6 linked regions of the Sus scrofa genome follow. The protein of the gene in region 4 interacts with the protein of the main gene of each other region in a biochemical or structural test. Links are inferred from orthologs where the notes say so. Each region holds a gene or a part of one and is shown on either strand. Other genes may lie near its edges.

Region 1 (3,500 bases), on a different chromosome or scaffold from region 4:
AACCTTTAGTTATTAAGGTACCCCAGAGTATCCTAAAAGATGCCCTTTCTTTTTTATGACCTTTACGCAGGAAAACAGACTTTTTAAAAAAATGATAATTTTTTATTGTGAATTTAAGTGATTTACAGTTTAAAAAGAATATTAAATATTGTATCACTCTATATTCACTTTGACATTTTTTAATGTCCTTATCTGTATTTTACATGATTGTAATTTGTGTATATACTCTCATACGCTCTGCTGTTTTTTTGGCAAGCACAAAGGCCTAGCCCTACTTCCCTCACATCCGCTGAAGATCCACACCCTGATATCTGGCCCATATTTTATTAAAACGGTTTTTCAAACCACGTGAATCATGAAATCAGTTTAGTCAATTATAACCAGTTATTTCGTTTTGTTTTGTTTGCTTTTTAAAGCACCCACAGCCTATGGACGTTCCCAGGCTAGGGGTCAAATCAGAGCTGTGGCTGCCGGCCTACAGCACAGGTCACAGCAACGCCGGATCCTTAACCCACTGAGCAAGACCAGGGATCGAACCTGTGTCCTCACAGATACTAGTCAGATTCTTAACCTGGTGAGCCACAACAGGAACTCCCATAACCAGTATTTTTTAAAAAGAGATAGAATAGACTAGAAATCACTTTGGGAGGCATGTGATCATTTAAATATGCATTTCCATGAAGCTGCACTCTGGAAAGCTATAGAATATCTAGGCTGAAATGCCAGAGAGTCCATGGAACGGTGTGAGAATTACCTAGAAAATCCTTGATGTGTGGCAGGGAAAGAGTCTGTTTCGACTGCTGTGATTATTTCTGAGGTCATTTGAAGAAGGTCTAGGGAAGATGGTTTGGTCTTTGGGAAGCTCAAGAAAGAGAGCATTGAAGTTAAAAAGAAGGCCGAGGATGCAAGAGTGAGCAAGAAGAGGGGGGAGCCTTGGAGCCGCCCATGAAGGTTTTTGAGAGGGAAGGTTGAGTCTTTTTAATTAATAAGGAAAAACTGGTTGACATCCAAAAGAAGAGAAAGCGGGAGGACGTGCTTTTTCCCTCCCGCAGGTCTGAACCTGAGTCCAACCAGCTTGTCCTCTTCCCGTAGAATCCTTCTCTAATCCCAAGTTCCACATCAGCCCCAAGGGAGTGATCATAGAAGGGGATCAGCTCCTCATCAAGTGCACCATTCAAGTGACACACCAGGCCCAGTCATTCCCGGAAATCATAATCCAGAAGGACAAGGAGATCGTGGCGCACAGCAGGAACGGCAGCGAGGCCGTGTACTCAGTGATGGCCACGGTGGAGCACAACAGCAACTACACGTGCAAAGTGGAAGCCAGCCGCATTTCCAAAGTCAGCAGCATCATGGTCAACATAACAGGTGAGGCTGCCGCTGGAGGGTGTCGGCCTACGGCGGGCTGCAGAAGCCGCTGTGCTGCAATCCCGGGTGGGCAGTGAGAGCTGAGAGATACTTCTGCTCCTGTTGGCCTGAAGGGATGTGCCTGGGCCGGGCTGGGGCGCTCGTGGGGAAAAGTCAGTGCAGAGCAAGTAAGCAGTTAGCTGTGGTGGTAGCAGGTGCAGGCTGTGGCCTCAGTGGCCAGCCTGGCCACTCAGTGACCTTGGGTGAGTTACTGACCCTCTCCTTGTCACAACTCTGAGATGGGGGTAATGACACCACTGTAGGACTGTCACAGGGGCTGAATGGCATCACTGTGCCACAAAGAGCCTCATACAGAGTAAGCCCTCAGTGATGGTTATCTGATGTTTCTGTTATTATGTCACAGTTCTCTTTCCTCTGTGCCAAGTACTGTCCGGATCCCTCCATCCCATTTCGGGCCCCATGGCAGGGTCAGGAGTGAGAAAGCATTACTAGGAGTTCCCATCGTGGCTCAGTGGTTAGTGAACCCGCCTAGGATCCATGAGGATGCAGGTTCCACCCCTGGCCTCACTCAGTGGGTTAAGGATCCAGCGTTGCCGTGAGCTGTGGTGTAGGTCACAGACGCGGTGTGGATCCCAAGTCGCTGTGGCTCTGGTGGAGGCCAGCGGCTACAGTTCCAATTGGACCCCTAGCCTGGGAACATCCATATGCCACAGATGCGGCCCTAAAAAGACAAGACAAAAAAAAAAAAAAAAAGAAAGAAAGAAAGAAAGCATTACTAAACTCAAAAATCATAGTAATAGATCCTCTTTGTGGAACACTATATGCCTGGTTTACATACATTTTCATTTCAAACTCAACTCTGTAAGAACGTAGGTATTATGAATCTGGTTTTAGGGATGTGGAAACTGAAGCTGAGAAGAACCCAACAATTGCAGGGTTACCAAGTGGCAGAGCAAGAGTCACCCCCAGAGCCTGTTAGATTTCCAAGCCCTCGTACTTGCAAGTTCCCTTGAACGCCTTCCTCCTTTACCTGGCTTTACTTTTCAACACAGCACTTATCACAAAAAAACGTACTCTACCTCCTCCTGTGTATTGTCTGTATGCGGCCCTCAAAAGTAAGCCGATAACAGAACAAAGGGTGGGGGAAAAAATGTGATTGTAATGTATACATGTAAGGATAACCTGACCCTCTTGCTGTACAGTGGGGAAATAAAAAAAAAAAAATCCAGAAATAGAACCACACACAAAAAAAAGTAAGCCGATAAGGGCAGGGGCATTATCTCTTTTATCCAGGGCTATATCCTTAACACCTGGAGCACAGGTGTCTGCACTTAGTAGGAATTCAGTACATATTTCCTGGGTGGATGGATGAGCATTGGACGACGGTGTTTCAGAGGACAGAGAGAATCAGCACTTTTGGTTCCCCAATGAAAGTGTTCATTCATTCATCATGGATTCACTCGTTTACTGAAAGCCTCCCCCGTGTTAAGCATTGAGTATATGGTCACAGGGACAATCCCCAGTGTCATAGGTAGGCTGCCAATGACCCAGCTGGGTGACTGGCATGTGATGGATCCAGCTGGTCTACACCAGGTCGGATCCTGCTAGCAATTTAGTTTTTTTGTTGTTGTTGTTTGTTTTTTAATTTTTTTTCCTTTTTAGAGCCGCACACGTGGCACATGGAGGTTCCCAGGCTAGGGGTCAAATCGGAGCTACAGCTGCTGGCCTAGACCATAGCCACAGCAACGTGGGATCCCAGCTGTGTCTGCGACCTACACCACAGTGCACAGCAACACCGGATCCTCAACCCACTGAGCAAGGCCAGGGATCAAACCCTCAACCTTGTGGTTCCTAGTCAGATTCATTTCCGCTGCACCACGAAAGGAACCCCTGAACGTTCAGGTGCTTGAACCTCCTGCCAGGCCTTCCGTAGGCTGCCCCCGCCCTGTGCCACTTTCCCTCATTGCCTGAATAACGACCTCCAAGGCTTCTTTCCTGATTCTTCGAGCCTGGGTTCAAGGTTACCTCTATGGGCTCTACTGCAAACACTACCTGAATCCCCTCTAGACTTAAACCCTTCTAGAGGGTAATTAAAGACTGTTTCTTTTCCACTGCTGTCTCCCTCCTCTGCT
Region 2 (4,166 bases), on a different chromosome or scaffold from region 4:
GCCCCGGGAGCGGGGGGGAGACAGAGGGCGGCAGGGAAGGAGCCCTGGGCAGAGTCAGGCTCTACCTGGGTGCCCGGACGCCTCTCTTCCCTCCCTGGGGCTCCGTTTCCCCGTGTGCACAGTAGTGGGGTGGGGGGGTGACTTCACTCGACTCTCTAAGCCTATTTATTTATTTATTTACTTTGTCTTAGGGCCCCACCTGCAGCATATGGAGGTTCCCGGGCTAGGGATCGAATCAGAGCTGTAGCTGCGGCCTACACCACAGCCACAGCAACGCGGGATCCGAGCCGTGTCTGCACCTACACCGCCGCTCACGGCAACGGTGGATCCTTAACCCACTGAGCAAGGCCAGGGATCGAACCCACATCCTCATGGGTACTAGTCGGATTCGTTTCCACTGAGGCCGCGACAGGAACTCCTCTCTAAGCTGTTCGCAAATGATGTCCTTAGGCCAGGAGTCTGTGCCTAGAGACGTGTTCTGACCTGAGACGCGAGAGTTCAAGGAGTGAGGGTGAGAGGCCCGGGGTTCCTGGAGGCACCCTGGCGGATCTCGGCGTGGAGGAGCAGAGGGGCCGGGAGCACGGAAAGGGCAGGTAGCCGGACGCGGAAATGCGCGAGAGGGACCCAGGAAGAAGGTGGGTGGGGGCGCCTGGTGACACTGCAGAGGGCCAGCTGTCGGCCTCAGATGGCCTGTTTCTGCTCCATCACGTCGCGCGTGAGACCCGGCTCGGCTCCGCCGTAGCTGTGACTTTGGGACACTCACTTGCGGGCTATAGTTCCTGGTCTAGACCATGAGGGATCAACCCTTTCTGGTACTCCAGGGTTTGGGGATGATGGAGGAAGGTGCCTGGAATCGGAAGCCTGCTGGGTGTCCTTAGGCGGGTCGCTCTCCCTCTCTGCTGTTCACGCCTGGGTCTCGACTTCTTCCTCTGAGGAGGGACCGGTGGCCTCAGAAGGGCTTTCTGCCTCGTCTATGTCCCCCTTTCCTGCGAAGCCCATTCCAATTCCCTCCGGCCTCGGCGAGCGCCCTCTCTCGTGCACTCTCCACTCTCAGCCCCCCGCCCTAACGAGGATGGCCGCCCACCCCTGCGCGGGGCTGAAGCACAGGAAGTGCACCCAGGTGAACCGATGGGGACTGAGTCAACCGGGTAGGTTATCGGGGCTCCCTTTGCAGACGGGAGAGCCCAGCACAGAGCAGGGACCCGCCCCCAGGCGCCACGGCGAAGGGAGGCTGCCACCGAGACAGGCAGCAGGCGAGTGGGGCCAGCCACTCTTTAATAAAAGTGACTCAGCCGCTGGCTGGCGTGGGCTGCGGAATTTCTAAACATCCCCTCACATCCTGAGCGAGCAGGCTACGGGAGGGAGCAGCAGAGGGAAAGAGGAAGAAAAACAAGAAACTTGGGGGAGAAGAGAGGGGGCTGAAAATTGAAAACAGACGCACGCGTCCACCCTCCCCGCTCCGGCCCCCTTCTCCCAGCTGAGCCAATCAGAGGCCGCCCTGCAGCCTTTCCCCCAAGGTGGGGGGGCAGCCAAGCCCACAGTGGTGTGAGCTCCCGGGGCAGCCAGCAGCCCGCAGTCCCTGCCCACCCCGTCTGGGACCCAGGACCGTTTTGTGAGCCACTTGGAGCCCGAGAGGAGGAGGGACTAGGAGGAGGGAGCCGGGCCCCCCTGACCAGCGCCACCAGGCAGCAGCCAGACCAGGGCGGCCCTTCCTGGCAGCCCGGCTGCTCCAGAAGGATGCTTTCGGAGTGAGGCCACTCCTCACCCCTGCAGCCCCCGACTCCCTCGGTTCTCCCGGGGCTCCGGGAGCCTGCAGCCGTCCTCACGGCCTCCCTGCCCGCTGCTGCCCCATTTCGGGTCCAGCAACGTCTTTCTGGTAACAGCAGAGAGTAGGCGGTGTGGAGGTCTTCCTGGAGGGGGCGGCAGCCAGAGCCCAGGACCCTGCCCACACCACAGGAGGCATCAGCAGCAAGGTAAGTGCCGGAAAGAGGAGAGAAGCCCAGCCCCTGGTCCTGTCCCCTTGTCCCAGACTGCGCCTTGTTGGGTAGGTCAAAAAATGGAAAATATTTTTAACAAAACCAGATGGGAGGTGGCCAGGAGGCTGTGAACGACCTCAGGGCCGGAGGAGCGAGCTCCCTCCTGCTCCGGCTGCTTCTGGGGTGGACGCCTCCTGCCCCAAGCAAACCCCAGAGGTTGCTGGGTGCTAAGTGGGGCAGGGGCGCCTCCAAAGCATAGAACCGCCTGCGGGAGGGGCAGGGAGAGCGGGAAGGACGTGAGAGAGGAATTGGGAGATGGCTGGCAGGGTGCGTGGACCAGGGACCTCAGACTCGCAGCCTCTGTCCCCAGGCCCAAGCCTTGTCCCTGAGAGTCTGTCTGGCTTTAGGCCAGTCAGCCGCCAGGCAACGTCTCAGGATTTAAATGGATTTGCAAATTTTCCAGATTCCTAAAGTGTCCTTCCAAACCCCCAGCGGCTGGGAAAGTGCGAAGGCGATGGGGCCACGGCAGGCCCGTCCTGGCGGTCACGTCCCGCAGCCCAGACTGGGCGTCTGGAATCCGACCGTCGGATCTGGGGGTTCCTCTCTGGAAAAGGGGGATCGGCTGTGGGGCGCTTTCCTCCAGTCCCAGGCAGCTGCTCAGGCCTCCTGGTGGTCTCCCTCCTTCTCCGCTCCCCCCAAGCCCGAATCTGATCTCTGGTTCCTTTTCTGTGCCTGTAGAAAGCCCCGGCTCCTGACAGCGGCTGCCACCACGGCCACTTGCTGTTCGCGTGGTGTGTACACGCGCGGTCCCGTGTAACGCGCACCAGCAACTCCAGAGGCAGGGTCCGGTTTTGTACCCAGTTTACGTGGGAGGAGACTGAGGCTCAGAGCAGCCACAAAGTGGTGCGGCGTGGCTGGTGGGCGGCGGAGCTGGGGAGTCAGGACGCGTCCTGCCCCACCCTCCAGGCTCGGGCTTGGTGTTCCTGCCAGTCGGATCCCAGGATCCCAGGAGGGATTTTCGCGACCCTGCCTGTGGACAGGCCCTTCGTCACCACGGCCCTTCTCCTCCAGGGACCTCCCCCCTCTGCCTCCTCCAGGCAGCCTTTCTGGGTTTACATTCTTCCAAGGCTTGCCATGCCCTTCTGTGCAGCCTTGCTGTCGCGTCTGTTGACATGGCAGGCGCCAGGCTTCCCCGTCTCGGGTTCTGGTCCCCGTGTCCCTAGGAGGGCAGTGGGGCTGGGAAAGGGTGGCCATGAGGGGAGGGACTCGCTGGAGACCGCGTGCCCCCACCCTCCTTCCGCTGCCTGCCCGGAACCTCGCGGGGATCCTTCGGATGCTTCTCTATGTCCAGGAGGGAGTCCCCTGCCTCTGCGACCGCCCTTCTAGTGACACCTCACGTCCAGCGGTCGTCCCCTGCCCTGAGCAGCAGGGCCCTGAGGCTGCGGCCCCTGGGGACCTGCTGGTTCCCGTTGTCACCTCCTCCCCTGTGCCGGGCACAGACCCTGGGCCCTCGCAGGCCTTTGGCGTCTGTGTTGTCGTGAGCCCTGCCTTGAGCACGAGGCCAGTGAGTCAGAGCAGCGCTGCGACTTTCCCAGGGTCGCACAGCCGGCAGAGGTGGCATTTAGGCCGAGGTCTGCCGGGGACCAAGGCCGTAACCCCCTGCTCCCACGGAACCCGGCCGGGCCGAGCCCTCATCCCCCCACAAGGCCTGTTCCTTCTTCCCCAGAAGGGGCAGCTTCAGGCCTGTCCTGCTTCCGGGTCCACCGGGGCCTGGTGTGTGGCGAGGGAGGAGGGCCCCGTTCAGGCCCCGTCCCGTCCCCTCCTCCGACCGCGAGCCCCTCCCTCGCCTGCCTGCGGGAAGAGGAGCTGGGGCTCTAATTGCCCACAGATGTGGGGCAGCGGGAAGCACGGAGGACTCAGAGTCAGGAGACCCGGCCCGGGCCTGGCTCCACTCCCACCCCCACCCCCAAGGGGCCAACCTCAGGCCCCCACGGCTCTTTCTTGCTGCGTCCGCATCTGGAAGGCAGCGGGCATGGTGGGGAGACCACACCAGGCTCAGGCCTCGGAGGACCGGGCACAGTCAGCAGCCCCTGTGCCCCAGCTGCTGTGCGACCCTGGGCCGGTGCTCTGCCGCTCTGGGCGCTGGGCCCTCCCCCGTGAGCCGCCGGATGGGAGCGCACGTAGATGAGG
Region 3 (3,500 bases), on a different chromosome or scaffold from region 4:
ACATTTTCCTGTCTTTCGCCAAAGTTTACGCTAGTCACTTTTTGGGTGGTAATCAGGACTGGTGTGAAGGAAACCTTTCAGGGCTGCTTTTTTAAGCTACAACTAAACTGAATACCCCAAACATATTCTTTAAGCTCAACGTTCCAGGAGGAGAAGCAGCTGAATCAAACATTTCCAGAATGAGAAGCAACTTAGCCATAACTTCCACTTCACTCCAAATAGTTTTAAGTTATGATAATATAGATGAGTAGAAAAAAAGTCCACATGACTTTGGCCATATGTTTGAATCACTGGTTCCATCTGGGTAGAGCTGCACCAGTCCTATAGAAGCAGAGACATCTGCCCTCCAGGATGTCTACTGGTCTAGTGGGAACACAAATACAAACCACAGATTGCAGCTGCCCTGGAGGGCAGCACCTAGCCGGGCAGTCTTGGGGGCAGCGCATAAATCTAAAGTACCTAGGAGACTTCTGACCCACATCCAGATGGATGGATGGGGATTTTCCAATCTAGCCATCAGTGATAGGGTGATCCAGGTAATGAATGCAAAGACTTGCTTCAGAGCTCTGGTGAAGGTGGCAGTTGGGGACACAGCAGAGATCATGAAGGAAATGGTATGACCTGCTACCGAGATCATCTTCCAACACAAACACCAGGGATGCTGTCTGACTTGAACTCCTTAGACTTTCTGACGTTATTAATGATTCAGAGTAAAGCAGGGATACACAAACCAAAACCAAACCACAAATGAAACAACCCTAAGGTAAGGCTATCAGGATTAGACTCCCTGCCCTCATATATATACATATAAATATAAATATATATATGTATATATATATATATAGCCTGCCATATGAAGTTAAATATACATACACACACATAAATACACATTTGCTTTAACCCATGTTGGTGAGGAATTAGTTTTTCAAAGGTCCGCAGTAGAAATCATTAAGCTATTTGCCAAATTTTACACACACACCACACATAAATATTCCCATAATCCTCACATTTCAAGAGGTAGAGTATTATGCAGATTTTAAAAATGAGAGTGAAATTCCTGCTACCCATATTCCAATGTTGATTTATCTCCCTATTTTAAACCTTTCAGGACTTTCTGTCTGTGTCAGATATTATTGACTACTTTAGGAAAATGCCGCTTCTACTCATTGATGGAAAAAACCGAGGTTCCAGATACCAGTGCACGTTAACCTATGCTGCAACTTATCCCTAGCAAGCCAGCCAAGCAAAGGAACCTTACTCCTGCCTCTGATGCCAGCATGGGAAGATCAGTCAACTGTGGTAAACCATCAGACACTTGGGACTGAATTGAACCCCTTAACATGAAGAGTTTTGTCCTTTTGCTTAAAAAGTGTTTGAAATGAAGACTGTCAGATATCCCATAATTTATTTATTCTTCTTCAATGTTTATAAAATGCATGAGTAATAATGTTCACACTTGAAGTGGAGTAGGGCACTGTAATAATTCATTTTTAAAAGATACGTATTTGTGAATACCCATTTCCAAGTACATTAGTTTGCCCAGCTACACAAACAATATGGGGCAAGCTGAGCAACACTGAAATGGTAATAATTTTGGTAACACATTAAAAACTGAATTTTTTAAAATAGGCACTCCTTTGTCAAAGGCAATCATCAGTTTTATATGCACAATTTGAAACTTACTAAAATTCAGTTTCTAGGCAGCAATAATTTAAGAAGCTTCCAAAACATTTCATCCTTTCTTATTTGTTTTTTTTTTTTTTTTTTTTGCTGGGGGGATTTTTGTGTACTTTTTTATGAAAAAGATAAATGCATGTCAGGATAACTCCCTGGAATTAAAATTAATTTGCCTTTTGCTTCACTTTTGAGTTCCTAAGACAACTTTATTGACTTTACTTAGTTCTTACTTTTTTATTTGTTTTAAATCAAATTTAAGATACAAATGCCCAAAGAAAACATTTTAAATTTAGAAATGAGGCTTTGGTGTCAAATTTAAGTTCATCACATCCAACACCCACATCCTACCTCCACTCCACCCCCCCCAACCAAATCCAAAAGCATCATCAAGTGAAATAGATTTTACTGAAGTCTTCCCAGGAAAATGAAAGAACAATGCATGTATACATGGAAAAATCTGATCAGACTTTCCAATTAGATAGGTTTTTTTTTTCCTGACAACTGTAATAAAGCCCTTCTCTTCATCCATTCCCAAGAGGCTTTATAAATTCTTCAAAGCAATTCAGTTCTTTCCTTCAACATTCATATCTCACTTAAAAAAAAGTAGGCATGTCACACAATGAAAACCTCACATTCAGTTAAGTTTTCCCTTTTGAGGCCTGGGTTGTTATTCCACAACTTTTATTAACAATAAAAATGTATGGCTTCTCTGTTTAGTATATAAAATTTCTAAGTCACAAAGATTCTTGTCTTCAATTTCATGAGATAAGAGAAAGAACACTGGGGAGTTCCTGCCGTGGCTCAGTGGTTAATGAATCTGACTAGGAACCCTGAGGTTTTGGGTTCGATCCCTGGCCTCACTCAGTAGGTTAAGGATCTGGTGTTGCCGTAAGCTGTGGTGTAGGTCGCAGATGTGGCTCGGATCTGGCATTGCTGTGGCTCTGGCGTAGGCCGGCAGCTACAGCTCCGATTAGGCCCCTAGCCTGGGAACCTCCATATGCCACAGGTGCGGCCCTAGAAAAGACCTCCCCCCCAAAAAAAAAAGAACATCAGAAGGGATCTTGGAAGTCATCTAGTTAAAACTGACAACTTGCTAAAATAAGTATGTAGAGACTTTTAACCACTGACAATTAAAATGATGCTTCACAAACGTCATCCTTACAAACCAGAAGTTCTCAATTCAGGGTTCAGAACTCAGGAATTCTAAAGCTGAAAAACTTTCATTCATTTACATGTTTATTCAAGAGGATATTCGACAAGCATTGACTCCATGCCTATTCTGTGCTAAACACTGAGCTAGGTGCTGGGCAATGAGGCTAGAACTGCGATGGAGGGAGCTGACCTTGTGTCTTGCTTTGTGGTATTACATACCTTATGTTTAAAAATATTTAAAATGAAGGACATGGCAGATTTCAAGCAACTATTTGGTAGTGGATTATGTTTAAAAAATAAATAAAGATTATTATTTTAAATTTCTGTTGGCAGAAAGAGACAGAAATTAGCAACTTTTAGGACACAGGTGTCCTAAAAATAAAACCTATTCCACTCCAATGATTGAAATAAATGATGAATATCTGATGTTTGAATGACTAGCATTCTTTCTCCCCTTCTTTGGGCCATGGCAACTCTGTTCTTTTGATGCGGCATCTCTTTTGGCTACAGACCTGGCATATGATCCCAGTCTCACCAAACATAGTTGCTCAAGACCCATCTTAATCAAAGCTGGGCCAATCAGGATCTTTCTCTGGAATGTTAAACACAGAGGCTGAGACAAAGGATCTCTCTTTTCTCTGGGGTCCCCCAAAGGTAATGCTGAACATCTG
Region 4 (3,500 bases):
AAGAGGGAGACTCGGGTCCTGAGAGCTGGTCTGACTTGGTGCCCCTACAGGGTGGCCGCTACACAGTGGGGGGTCCCGAGACCTTCGACAGCCTCACGGACCTGGTGGAGCACTTCAAGAAGACGGGGATTGAGGAGGCCTCGGGCGCCTTCGTCTACCTGCGGCAGGTGAGAGGTGGGCCTGGCTGCCTCCTCCTTTGCCCCCAGCTTCCGGCTCTAGAAGCGGCTGACTTCTCGCCTTCCCCTACCCCAGCCATACTATGCCACGAGGGTGAACGCGGCTGACATCGAGAACCGGGTCTTGGAACTGAACAAGAAGCAGGAGTCAGAGGAGACAGCCAAGGCCGGCTTCTGGGAGGAGTTTGAGGTGCCTGATGGGACCAGGGGGGAAAGGGCGTGGGGTCCTCGGCAGACCCCGTCTCCTCTCTCCCACCCCGTGTACTGATCGGCCCCACGTCCTTTGCCCTCCATGGGTGCCCCCTCTAGGGGCTGGGGCTCCATGTCCCCCTTTTACCCCCCCTCCCAGAGTCTGCAGAAGCAGGAGGTGAAGAACTTGCACCAGCGGCTGGAAGGGCAGCGGCCAGAAAACAAGAGCAAGAATCGTTACAAGAACATCCTTCCATGTGAGCGCCCTGCTCCTGAGCAGCCTTCAGCCCTCCCCGCCACAGGCAGCACCCGCTCACGAGGAGAACGCTCCCCACAGCGGCCGACCTCCCCGCAGCACATAGGGTCTCCCCATACTCCCGCTCAAGGAGGCCCCCCACCCCACCCACACAATAGAACCTCCCCCCCACTTCAAAAAGCCTCTGCTCCCCGCAAAGGAGCCACCTGCGCCCCACCCTCCTCTTCCCCTGAAACCTTAATTCCCACCCCATCCAGATCCCCTACCCCTGCCTGCCCACAGTGCTCTGAGAGCTCATGGCTTCTGGGCAAGCATGGCCTGGGAGTTCAGGAAGGGTCTGATCCAGGCCCTTCTTGCTTTCTCTGCCCCACTCCCAGTCGACCACAGCCGAGTGATCCTGCAGGGACGGGACAGTAACATCCCTGGGTCTGACTACATTAACGCCAACTATGTCAAGGTTGGTGTGCCTGCTGGTCACAGGGAAGTGGGGGGGCTGGGCCCCAAGGATCCCCACCTCCCTTGCTCATGAGGTTGCTGGGTTCAGAGACATGTGGGTGACGCAAAAGCTGTCCCCGTGGGTGGCTGAGGGTGGTGGGGGTACGAGGGGCTCACGGTCCTGCACGTCTCTGCACTCACATCCAGAACAAGCTGCTAGGGCCCGATGAGAACGCTAAGACCTACATCGCCAGCCAGGGCTGCCTGGAGGCCACGGTCAACGACTTCTGGCAGATGGTGTGGCAGGAGAACACCCGTGTCATCGTCATGACCACTCGGGAGGTGGAGAAGGGCCGGGTAGGCTGAGCCCCGTGCTCCCAGTACTTATCGCCACCACTATTAAGCCAAAGAAACTTGGGGCCCCTCAGAGGGCGAGGGTCCTACCTTGTGGGAAAACTGGGGTACAAGGTCTGGGTACACCCTGACTCCCAGATCCCTGCCTCCCAGCTTGGGCTCCCCTGACCTCCAGACTCAGATTTCCAGTGGCCGCCTGCCTTTGACTGTCCCCTGCCCCACCCCGGCCTGTCCCCTCCGGGCCAGAAGCCTCTCCTCTCCTCTCAGCCTCATAATTCTTTCTGGAATTGTCCCACCCCCACCCCCAGCACACACTGCATCAGGCTGCTCCTTCTGAGAACCCCTCAGTGGCTGCCAGCTGCCTTTTGAGTGGTCACAGTCCCAGACCTGGCACTCGGGCTTGGTGGCCGCCCTCTGGCCCTCGTTGCCTCTGACCTGCCAGGCTCCTTCAGGTTTCTGTGCCTCTGCATGAGCTCCCGGCCTCTAGGAAGTGGCTTCCTCTCTCAGCATTATCTCTGCCTGACAGACTCCTCGTTCTTTGAAAACCCAGCTCAGATGCTCCCTCCTCTGGGAAGTCCTCCCTGATTTCCTCCCTTGCCTAGACAGAGAATGAGTCTCTCCTTCCACCAGGCTCCTCAGCGACTCTGGTTCCCCTGTTCCTCTGTCTCCCTGTGAGCTTCTAGAGGCACGGGCCACATCTTATGTGTGTCTGTAACACCAGCCTGGGCTGGGAAGCATCGGGGACTGTGAGTGTGCCAGCTGACGTTCACTGAGTGACCTATACGTGGCTGCTCAGGTCTCACCACCTGCGGGAGGCTGAGCCGAGGCCAGATCCTTTGTCTCTGACTCTCGGCCAGGTCACACATCAGATGCTGATGGGCCAGCACTAGGGGCTCAGGCCCTGCTTCTGTCCCTCAGTCGCCATCTCCACCCTTCCTTTTCAGAACAAATGTGTCCCGTACTGGCCAGAAGTGGGCAGTCAGCGTGTTTACGGACCCTACGCTGTCACCAACGGTGGGGAGCACGACACAGCTGAGTACAAACTCCGCACCTTACAGGTCTCCCCGCTGGCAAATGTGAGTGTCCCCTGCCCCACACCAGGACCCCCCCCTCACACCTGTTCTCTTTGGTTGGGTAGAATGAGGCCATGAGTGGGAGCAGGGGGCATTGACCCTATGTCCTCGGCCCAGGGGGACCTGGTTCGGGAGATCTGGCACTACCAGTACCTGAGCTGGCCTGACCATGGGGTCCCCAGCGAGCCTGGGGGTGTCCTCAGCTTCCTGGACCAGATCAACCAGCGGCAGGAAAGTCTGCCTCACGCAGGGCCCATCATCGTGCACTGCAGGTGAGAATAATAATAATAATAATAATAATAGTAATAATAGTCAAAGTAGTAGCTGGCAAGTAAAACTGCTAAGCGCCAGGCACTGTCATAAGCAATTGACACAGTAACTCCTTTAATGCCTCCCCCCACCCTCGCCCCCACCTGCTCTGGGTCCTGATGGCTCCAGATTCACGGGTGGAACTTAGCAGGAACCAAGCTCATGGCTTGATCCTCTGTGTGCATGTGTGTAGGTGGGTGTGGGTGTGGGTGTGGGTGTGTGTGAGCTTCCTCAGAGACTGCCCAGGATGTACCATGTGGTCCAAGCTGCCACATCCTGATGAGGAAATGGGCCCCAAAACGGTGTTTCTTCCTGGGGTCAGCGCGGCCCCCATCCCTCTCTCTTCCACCTGTAGCCCTGGGCTCCTCCATTGCTGCTCCCTGTCTTTCCCCCACTCACCAGAGACCCCGACTCGGCCCCAGGCCCATGCATCACTAGCTCCACTGGCCCTCGTGTTCATGAGCAGGAGACCCCATTCCTGCTAAGGTGGGGGGTGCTGCGGGGTCAGCGAGGAGGAGCAGGGGGTCCCGTCAGGCCTGAGGGGCAGAGTCCCGCAGACGGGCCTACTCCGCTGGCCCGGCCTGGGTGCGTGGAAGGCAGTGCGCAGGGTCCTGGACGGACGCCTCCAGCCCTTCCACCCGCTGGCTGTGTGATATTGGACACATGACGGCACTTCTCTGACCGTGTGGTTCCTCATCGGTAAAATCA
Region 5 (3,500 bases), on a different chromosome or scaffold from region 4:
TTTACAAATATAGTCTCAGGGTTACCCGAGTGCTATCTCTGAGATGAAATTAAAGTCATATGAAATAAACAATTTGTATCATCGTCAAACATGCTTAAACTTAGGCTTAGAGCATCTAGGCAGCCTTGATCAAGATGGGTGTAAAAGATGAACACAAAGGAGGCTGATGGATTTCAAAATGGCCCGATTTTGAATTAAGGGATTTTGCTAGTTATTTTTCTCGTATTTGTTAACTACTTGCTTTTTGCTTTTAGAAATCAACCCATTTCCATTCCTCATAACTCTCTTTGATAACAAGATAGTCTTGTTAGATATGGATCAAAATCGAGTTGCATGGACATTTTCAGCTGAAGGAGACTTCAGGGCCGTGGGCTACACTGCTGATGATGCAACGGGGTACTGTGCTCAATCAGACGCCCTCCTCCTTCTGAACATGCGCAATGGGTCCAGCTCTGAGGTATCTTGCTGCACCATTCTTCTGAAAGGAAGTGGAGTGTTTCCACATCACCCTGTAACTAAAACGACTGGCCAGTTGTTGAGCCATTGAGATTAGAATGGTTGAAAAGGACAGATGTTGTATAATTAATTAGTTGCAAACGAACTCAGGTTAGGTTTCTGGCAAATGTGATTCAGGCTTAATTTAGCAACAGTTATTGGGTTTAAGGAACTCTGTTACCTGAGAAAGAGATAAAAAAAGAAGTCACAGTCCTTGAACAAACCCCGTCTAGTATTAATCTCACACGAGGAAGACGGTATTGCATAGTGATTAAGAAAGTGAGCTTTGAAATCTGACGACTTAGAATTTAATTCTGACGCTACCACATGCTAGATCTGTGACCATTAACAACTTATTTAACCACTATGGTTGTGTAGTTGCTCATCATAGGGTGAAAATTAATGAGATAATCCATGTAAGTCACTTAGCACAACTCTTGGAATGTGGTAGGCATTCACTGAATGCTAGCTTGTGGAGAAGACAGGCAGAAGACAGTGTAAGTGCTTTGCTGGGGGCAGGATGCAGTGGAATTGCAGAGAATGGATGCTTATTCCAGAGTTGGGGTGGGGGGGGGCGGTTGGTGGTAAAGTAGAAAGACATCTTAGGTACAAAGATGATGAACCAGGTGAAGGTGGGGAAATGCCAAGGGAGCAGCAAGTGCAAAGAAAGGGAAACAAGAAAGCCACAGCCTTTTCAGGGACCTATAAATACAAGGAGCTTGGAATGGAAGTGGGAATAAGGGCAGAGTGAAAGGCAGATGGTAGAGCTGGAGAGGTGGAGCAGGAACCTGAATATAATGGCCTTTGTTTACTGTATTAAGGAGTTTAGTGTCAGTTTTGAAGCCAACTAGAAGCCATTCAAGAAATTCAGTGGGTCATTAACACGATCAGGTTGTGTTTTAGGAAGACCTCTGTGTTAGCAGTGTGAATAATGACTTAGAAAAAGTTAAGTCTGAGACAATCAGGAGGCCATCACAGAAATCTAGACAGGAAATGTTAGGCGTGAAATGAGAGGCAGTAAGGTGAGAGAGGAAAGGACATCTCTCTCTCTCTTTAAAATTGTGGAGATATTAAAATTGGGACTAATTCACTATGGGTAAGTAACAGGAGGAAGAAGTCAAGGATGAAATTGCTCCTTGGTGAGTATTGGAAAGCCATAAAAATATAAAATGAAGGAGGAAGGAGGTTTGGTGTGTGCGGTGATGCATCCTGTTTTCTGGGGTCATTTATTTGGACATGTTCAGTGGGCAGTTTGATATTTGAGTCAGCAATTCACTGAGAGATCTTGAAGATGTGGATTTGTAGCACTGGTCTAAGGATTACAGTTGAAGTCATAGTAGTTGAAATTAAATAGGAAAAATATATAATGTGAGAAGAGGACTAGTGTTACAAAGGCACACCATCCAGAGCTATTCAGGTTTTGGAATACAAAAGAGAAGTGTAGTAAATAAGTAATACAGGTGATAGTCAAAAACAGTCCTCATGTTTGAAGAAAATGACCACTGTCTTTTTGGCTATGTTTTCTACCTGTTAAGATTTTCAGAGACACACTGGTTTTTGATATCACAGTTATAACAATTGACTGGATTTCAAGGCACCTCTACTTTGTGCTGAAAGAATCACAAAACAGAATGCAAATATTTGATATTGATCTTGAAAACAAGGTGAAATATCCCAGGAAGCTGAAAATATGTGACAGAAATTCAACAATAATCTCTTTTTTTGTATATCCTTTTTTAAGGTATGTGAAGTGTATCTGTTTCTATTGTGATGAAATAGATACAGACATTTAATGTAATATTTTTAGTTTAATATTAAAAGTCAATGATGGGACAAGAAGATGCTTAATGTTCTTGATATTAATTTATAGTAATTCTACATACAAATGATGAGTCCACAACCACCAATATATAAAATTAATCCATACCTACACATTAATGACCAGCAGGAAACCAAAGCATATTTTTGTACCAGCGAATTTAATATTCCCAGTTTATAAGGACAGGAAGGGGACCGAGACAGTGGTAGGAAATGAGTAGGACATAGACATGTCTTGCACAGCAAATGCTATTCTGGGCTCATCCATCATTAATTAACATCCTCATGAGATGAATTTTAAGGCCTCCATTAAGCAACTGAATAGCAGCTTCTCAAGCTGGAGAGACATTTTATTTGAGCCATAAGCACGGTTATACTCTATTTTGAAAATAGATTGGTAACTAGTAGTAAGAAGCAGAAACAAACTCGAGCAAAAGGGAATGGAGATGGTGTCGATGTAGAGTATGCCAGTACGTTTCATATTTAGAGCCATTAATGAGCCATTTAATAAAATGCCTAAGGTCATTACCGTCCAAAGCTTTTGTTGTAAACACATTTACTGAGAAATTGTTGCAAAATGCTACAAACTAGACTTCTCATGACCTCTTCCATCAGGTTCTCAAACACTGGGACATGTTCTCTCCAAAGGTTGCATTTGTCCCCATAAGCATTAGAAATAACTGATCATCATGAGAAATTGATATTTGTAATATGTTTTACTCGTTAAATTGGAAGGTCTTTTTTTTTCCTATAGTCGTCTATATTGGACAGAGGTTTCTGATTTTGGATCTCAGATGTTCTACTACAGTATTATCAACCAGACTTTGCATCGAGTTCTACAACCCACAGCCATAACCCGTGCGCGTGGAAGGAGCCAATGTTCTTGCAATGTGACTGAATTTGAATTAGGTGGAGCAATGACTATTGATACCTCTGACCTAAAGAAACCACGAATATATTTTGTCAAAGGGCAAGAGATCTGGGCCATGGATCTGGAAGGATGTCAGTGTTGGCAAGTGATCATCATGCCTGCTCTGCTTGGTAAGACACTTTGTGTGTGTGTGTGTGTGTGTGTGTGTGTGTGCACGCGTGCGTGCACATAGTCATTAGTAATGGCAGCACCTCCAGTCCTGTTGAAAAGGGGTTACATTCAACCTATACTCAGAAGTAAATATATATAACATGTA
Region 6 (4,209 bases), on a different chromosome or scaffold from region 4:
GTTAACGAACCCGACTAGTATCCATGAGGACGTGGGTTCAATCCCTGGCCTCGCTTAGTGGGTTAAGGATCTGGCGTTGCCGTGAGCTGTGGTATAGGTTGCAGATTTGGTTGGGATCTGGTGTTGCCGTGAGCTGTGGAGTAGGCCGGCAGCTATAGCTCCGATTTGACCCCTAGCTTGGGAACCTCCATATGCTGAGGGTGCCGCCCTAAAAAGACAAAAAAAAAAAAAAAAAAAAAGTGGAAGTGCTAATTCTCACTTCACATGGAGTTGGACATGTCTTAAGTGAGATAAAGCACAGTAAGCGCTCAAGAAACATGCACTTTGTCGTGTGCCTTGCTGCTCTCCTCAGTGCTGTGTTTGCTGTTGTGCAGAGGCCCAGCGATGGCCTGAGGTGCTCAGGTTCATGGCAAGGGGAGCTGGGGCCCCCTAAGTGTTTTTTTGTTGTGTTTTTTGTTTTTTTTTTTAACTTTGTATTTCTCAGCTTTTGTTTCTGTATTACCCCCTTTGTCTGACTTTCCAACTCAGACTTCCTCTTCCCCCCACCCATTTCCTGTCTCCCCCTTCTCTCCGCAGCTGAGGTGCATAAGCATCAGCTTCCACCTCACAAACCCCAACAATGTTTTGTGGGCTCCCCTCCCCCAACCCCTCCCTCAGTGCAGCTTCAGGCCGAGGTAACACATGTATGCCTTCCTCCCCCTTGGTAGGGTGCAGGCCCAGCTCTTGAGCCTGATAGAAGCCACTTAGCGTTCCTTCTAACACTGGTGACCAGGCCCTCGGCCACCCTGAGCCGGGCCCCAGGAGAAAGGAAGGTTGTTGGCCTGCTTGCTGCTTGTGCCACGCTCCCTGCCTCCTGCCTGTGACAAAACGATGTCCATCTGCTGCCTGCACCTGTGTGCCTGGGAAGGCATGTTTGTTCGGTCTGCCTCCTGTGGCAGGAGGTGGTGTCAGGCCCTGTGCCTCTGACACAGGCTGTGGCCGTGCCTCTATCTGGGTTAGACGGGTCCCCCTACTCTCCAGTCCTAGTTAGGGGGTGTCGCCCTGCCCTCTTCCCACAACAGAGGCTGTTACTGTGCCCCCTTTAAGACACGGGGTTGTCCTGCCTGCTTCCTTCAGCAACCCGTTGTCCAGCGTTCTTCTGTAAGAGGGGCGTTACCCTGCCCTCTGTATAGGATAGAGCTGTTGTCCTGTGCCCTGAGATGGCATGGCTATTGTTCTGCTGCTGAAACTAGCGGCAGTGTTCACCTGGTGTCTCTTTGCCTCTAACACGGATGTCTGCTCTCCAGTGATCTTGCAGGGATAGTTCCTCCCCTCTGACTCTGAAGCGATGTTACTTTTGCCCTTGAACTGTAACGAAAGGGTCACTCGGCTCTCAGACTGTGACAGCAGTGCGATTTGCCTTTCACTGAAAGCTGAGTGGGTGTCTGCTCGCCTCCTGCTCACTGGGGTTTAAAGGCTTCCCTTGAATCTCTCGTCCAGGTGCACCCTTCGGGGGCAGGAGAGATGTTCCATTAAATAGGCTTCCTCACCTCCAGGTGACACCCCGGGGATGCGTAGGACCTGGACTGGAGATGTGTAGGACCCCCAAGGGCTGAGGGGCGGGGGGCTATGGGAGCAGGAAGCTTGGGGTGCTGGAGGCTTGTGGTTGGGTTGCTGGGGCCCGGTTGGCTGCAGAGCCCTCAGGAGGAGGCAGGAAGTCAGGGTGGGACGTGGGCGCGAGGAGACAGGCGGTAGCTACAACGCCGAGGGGAGCTGAAGCTGCGTCTGGGCAGCCAGGCTAGGCCAGGAAGACCATGTGAATGGGGCCAGAGGGCTCCTGGGCTGGGCAGGTAAGGAGTCCTGGGGAAAATGGTCTAGGGGCGGGAGGGGGGCAGGGGGGCGGGGTGGGGGGCGCTGCAGCTGGGCCTGAGGCCAGGCTCCCCTGATATGGAGCAGCCCTTCAGTTTGGGGGACAGAAAATCCTGGCTGGAGGTCATGTGGGAGGCAGGCGGAGCAGCTGGACCCCCTCTTTCCTGTGTAGTTGTTGCCTCTTGCCTGTGTCACACTGCTTACCATCAATGCCCCCTCACTGGGAGCATTTTTCTTGGGGATCTATCACATAGAATGTCAGGTATCAAAAAGGCCTTCGGGAATCCCTAAATCCAGGAGTTGCCGACGTGGCCCAGCAGAAATGAATCCAACTAGGAACCATGAGGTTGTGGGTTTGATCCCTGGCCTTGCTCAGTGGGTTAAGGATCTGGTGTTGCCATGAGCTGTGGTGTAGTTCAAAGACACGGCTTGGATCTCATGTCGCTGTGGCTGTGGCGTAGGCCCGTGGCTACAGCTCCGATTCGAGCCCTAGCCTGGAAACCTCCCTATGCCGTGGGTGTGGCCCTAAAAAGCAAAAAAAAAAAAGAAATCCCTAAATCCAATCCCTCCTTCCATGTTGGATCAGAACCCGAGGCCCAGATTGGGCAATGTATTCCATCCCCAAAGTCCATCAGCGAGGCAGCAGCAGAGCCTGGTCCCCGGAGAGGTGATGACCCACCCATGGGTGTGACTCCCTACCCATGGGCAGGGTGATGATGAGGCTTGAGTCAGGGGCCCCAAGAATCCTTCTGATGGCTGGGGCAGACCCCGGTGACAAGAATCTCCTGAGAGAGAGAGAGAGTGAGTGTCACCCAGGGCATCCGTCTGGACACATGAGAAGTGATTTTAGCCTCAGTGACCAGCCTGTGTTGAGAGAGGGAGGAGTCTTCCGTTGGGAGCGGTTGGACTTGTGAGGGGATATTTATCATCTGGGATGGGGCCTCCAGGCTGCAAGTGTCTGACCTGACTCTGGGAAGTTGGGGGGGCGGTGGTGAGAGGAAGGGCTATTTTTATCCTGGACAGGAGTGCAGTTGGCCCTGGGCAAGGAACGTCTGAACTTCCATCTGGAAAGTCGCCATTCCTGGCCCTGCAGAGTATCCGCAGGATGCCCTCCCTCTTCCCTGCTCTCCCTCCCACTCCCACCCCCACCCCACTCACTGCCTGCGGAGGACCAATGGGTCCTCTGATTCCTGCTTCGAACCCCAGAAAGATGGAGGCCCAGGGAGGCAGAGTCAGCTCCCTGCCCACCCCCTCACTTTCTAGCTCTCGGCCTGCAGTTTCTTGGGTAAATCCCCACCTGAGCCAGATTTTCCAGGTTTCACCTGCCTTACCCTCCACCTTTGGAGCTTCTCTTGACGCATAGTTTCCAATGAGAGTCGGCTTATCACAGCCTTACTTTTGTCCCCAACTCCAAGGCCTGCAGCCTCTTGTGGGGGCTGGGAAGCACGCTGGCTGTCCCTACACTCAGCCAGACCCCGGACCCACACAAAGAGCTACCCCATCCCCAGCCTGTGCTGATAGATGACTCAGGGTCCTTTGCCCTTGGGGCTCAGGAACAGAGGTTCTTTCTTTTCTTTCTTCCTTCCTTTCTTCCTTTCTCCCTTCCTTCCTGCCTTCCTGCCTTCCTGCCTTTCTGCCTTTCTTCCTTTCTTTCTTTCTTTCTTTCTTTCTTTCTTTCTTTCTTTCTTTCTTTCTTTCTTTCTTTCTCTCTCTCTCTCTCTCTTCCTTTCTTTCTTTCTTTTTCTTTCTTTCTTTCTAAGGGCCTCACCCACTGCATGTGGAGGTTTGCAGGCTAGGGGTTTTATCGGAGCTACAGCTGCCAGCCTACACCACAGCTCACAGCCACACCAGATCCGAGCTGTGTCTGTGACTTTTACATTGCAGCTCATGGCAACGCCGGATCCTTAACCCACTGAGCAAGGCCAGAGACCGAACCTGGGTCCTCGTGGATACTAGTCAAGTTCTTAAGCTGCGGAACCACATCGGGGACACCCAGAGGTTCGTCTCAAAGGGAAAAAGGGCCAAGCGATGGGGCAAAGGAACAGGCAGAGGGTTCAGGGGACGGGAGAAGGCTTCCCTTAGGCAATCCAGAAGGTTTCTTGGAAGGGTCAAGGCACTTCTGAGGACAAAGGCTCATTTTACAGAGAACCTAGGACATGAAGTCAAGATTGCTGTCTCTGGTTTCTGTTCCTTGGAATCCCCTGAGGGCAGAGACCTCAGCGCAAGACCAAAAGCAAGAGAGCCAATGGTTTGGTATAAAGCAAAGGACCTCTGGTTCAGAGTCAGGCCGACCCAGGCACAATTCCGGTTCCTCCATTTCCTTGAATGGCTTCACTTCTCTGAACTGCAATTTACTTATTG

Evidence for each region.
Region 1: the proteins of PTPN6 (region 4) and PECAM1 form a complex in vitro, tested with the Homo sapiens proteins (2 studies listed by BioGRID, with this or other methods). The link is inferred for Sus scrofa from reciprocal best matches to the Homo sapiens genes PTPN6 and PECAM1.
Region 2: the proteins of PTPN6 (region 4) and PDGFRB form a complex in vitro, tested with the Homo sapiens proteins (2 studies listed by BioGRID and IntAct, with this or other methods). The link is inferred for Sus scrofa from reciprocal best matches to the Homo sapiens genes PTPN6 and PDGFRB.
Region 3: the proteins of PTPN6 (region 4) and LCP2 form a complex in vitro, tested with the Homo sapiens proteins (2 studies listed by BioGRID). The link is inferred for Sus scrofa from reciprocal best matches to the Homo sapiens genes PTPN6 and LCP2.
Region 5: of the proteins of PTPN6 (region 4) and ROS1, one has a biochemical effect on the other in vitro, tested with the Homo sapiens proteins (2 studies listed by BioGRID and IntAct). The link is inferred for Sus scrofa from reciprocal best matches to the Homo sapiens genes PTPN6 and ROS1.
Region 6: of the proteins of PTPN6 (region 4) and LCK, one has a biochemical effect on the other in vitro, tested with the Homo sapiens proteins (4 studies listed by BioGRID and IntAct, with this or other methods). The link is inferred for Sus scrofa from reciprocal best matches to the Homo sapiens genes PTPN6 and LCK.

The regions. Positions count from the first base shown.
Region 1 is NC_010454.4:14,684,643-14,688,142, forward strand, and holds part of PECAM1 (platelet endothelial cell adhesion molecule), read left to right. Parts: intron 1-1,092; coding exon 1,093-1,368; intron 1,369-3,500. UniProt on the Homo sapiens protein: Cell adhesion molecule which is required for leukocyte transendothelial migration (TEM) under most inflammatory conditions.
Region 2 is NC_010444.4:151,190,019-151,194,184, reverse strand, and holds the start of PDGFRB (platelet-derived growth factor receptor beta), read left to right. Parts: upstream 1-1,366; 5' UTR 1,367-1,973; intron 1,974-4,166. UniProt on the Homo sapiens protein: Tyrosine-protein kinase that acts as a cell-surface receptor for homodimeric PDGFB and PDGFD and for heterodimers formed by PDGFA and PDGFB, and plays an essential role in the regulation of embryonic development, cell proliferation, survival, differentiation, chemotaxis and migration.
Region 3 is NC_010458.4:53,738,474-53,741,973, forward strand, and holds the end of LCP2 (lymphocyte cytosolic protein 2), read left to right. Parts: intron 1-1,108; coding exon 1,109-1,231; 3' UTR 1,232-3,263; downstream 3,264-3,500. UniProt on the Homo sapiens protein: Adapter protein primarily involved in signaling pathways within T-cells, as well as other immune cells such as platelets, mast cells, and natural killer (NK) cells.
Region 4 is NC_010447.5:63,765,587-63,769,086, reverse strand, and holds part of PTPN6 (tyrosine-protein phosphatase non-receptor type 6), read left to right. Parts: intron 1-50; coding exon 51-167; intron 168-252; coding exon 253-366; intron 367-525; coding exon 526-622; intron 623-998; coding exon 999-1,078; intron 1,079-1,263; coding exon 1,264-1,413; intron 1,414-2,354; coding exon 2,355-2,486; intron 2,487-2,600; coding exon 2,601-2,755; intron 2,756-3,500. UniProt on the Homo sapiens protein: Tyrosine phosphatase enzyme that plays important roles in controlling immune signaling pathways and fundamental physiological processes such as hematopoiesis.
Region 5 is NC_010443.5:44,472,378-44,475,877, forward strand, and holds part of ROS1 (proto-oncogene tyrosine-protein kinase ROS), read left to right. Parts: intron 1-254; coding exon 255-457; intron 458-2,030; coding exon 2,031-2,236; intron 2,237-3,067; coding exon 3,068-3,354; intron 3,355-3,500. UniProt on the Homo sapiens protein: Receptor tyrosine kinase (RTK) that plays a role in epithelial cell differentiation and regionalization of the proximal epididymal epithelium. NELL2 is an endogenous ligand for ROS1.
Region 6 is NC_010448.4:88,718,477-88,722,685, forward strand, and holds the start of LCK (tyrosine-protein kinase Lck), read left to right. Parts: upstream 1-1,409; 5' UTR 1,410-1,829; intron 1,830-3,732; exon of another isoform or gene 3,733-3,846; intron 3,847-4,209. UniProt on the Homo sapiens protein: Non-receptor tyrosine-protein kinase that plays an essential role in the selection and maturation of developing T-cells in the thymus and in the function of mature T-cells. Plays a key role in T-cell antigen receptor (TCR)-linked signal transduction pathways.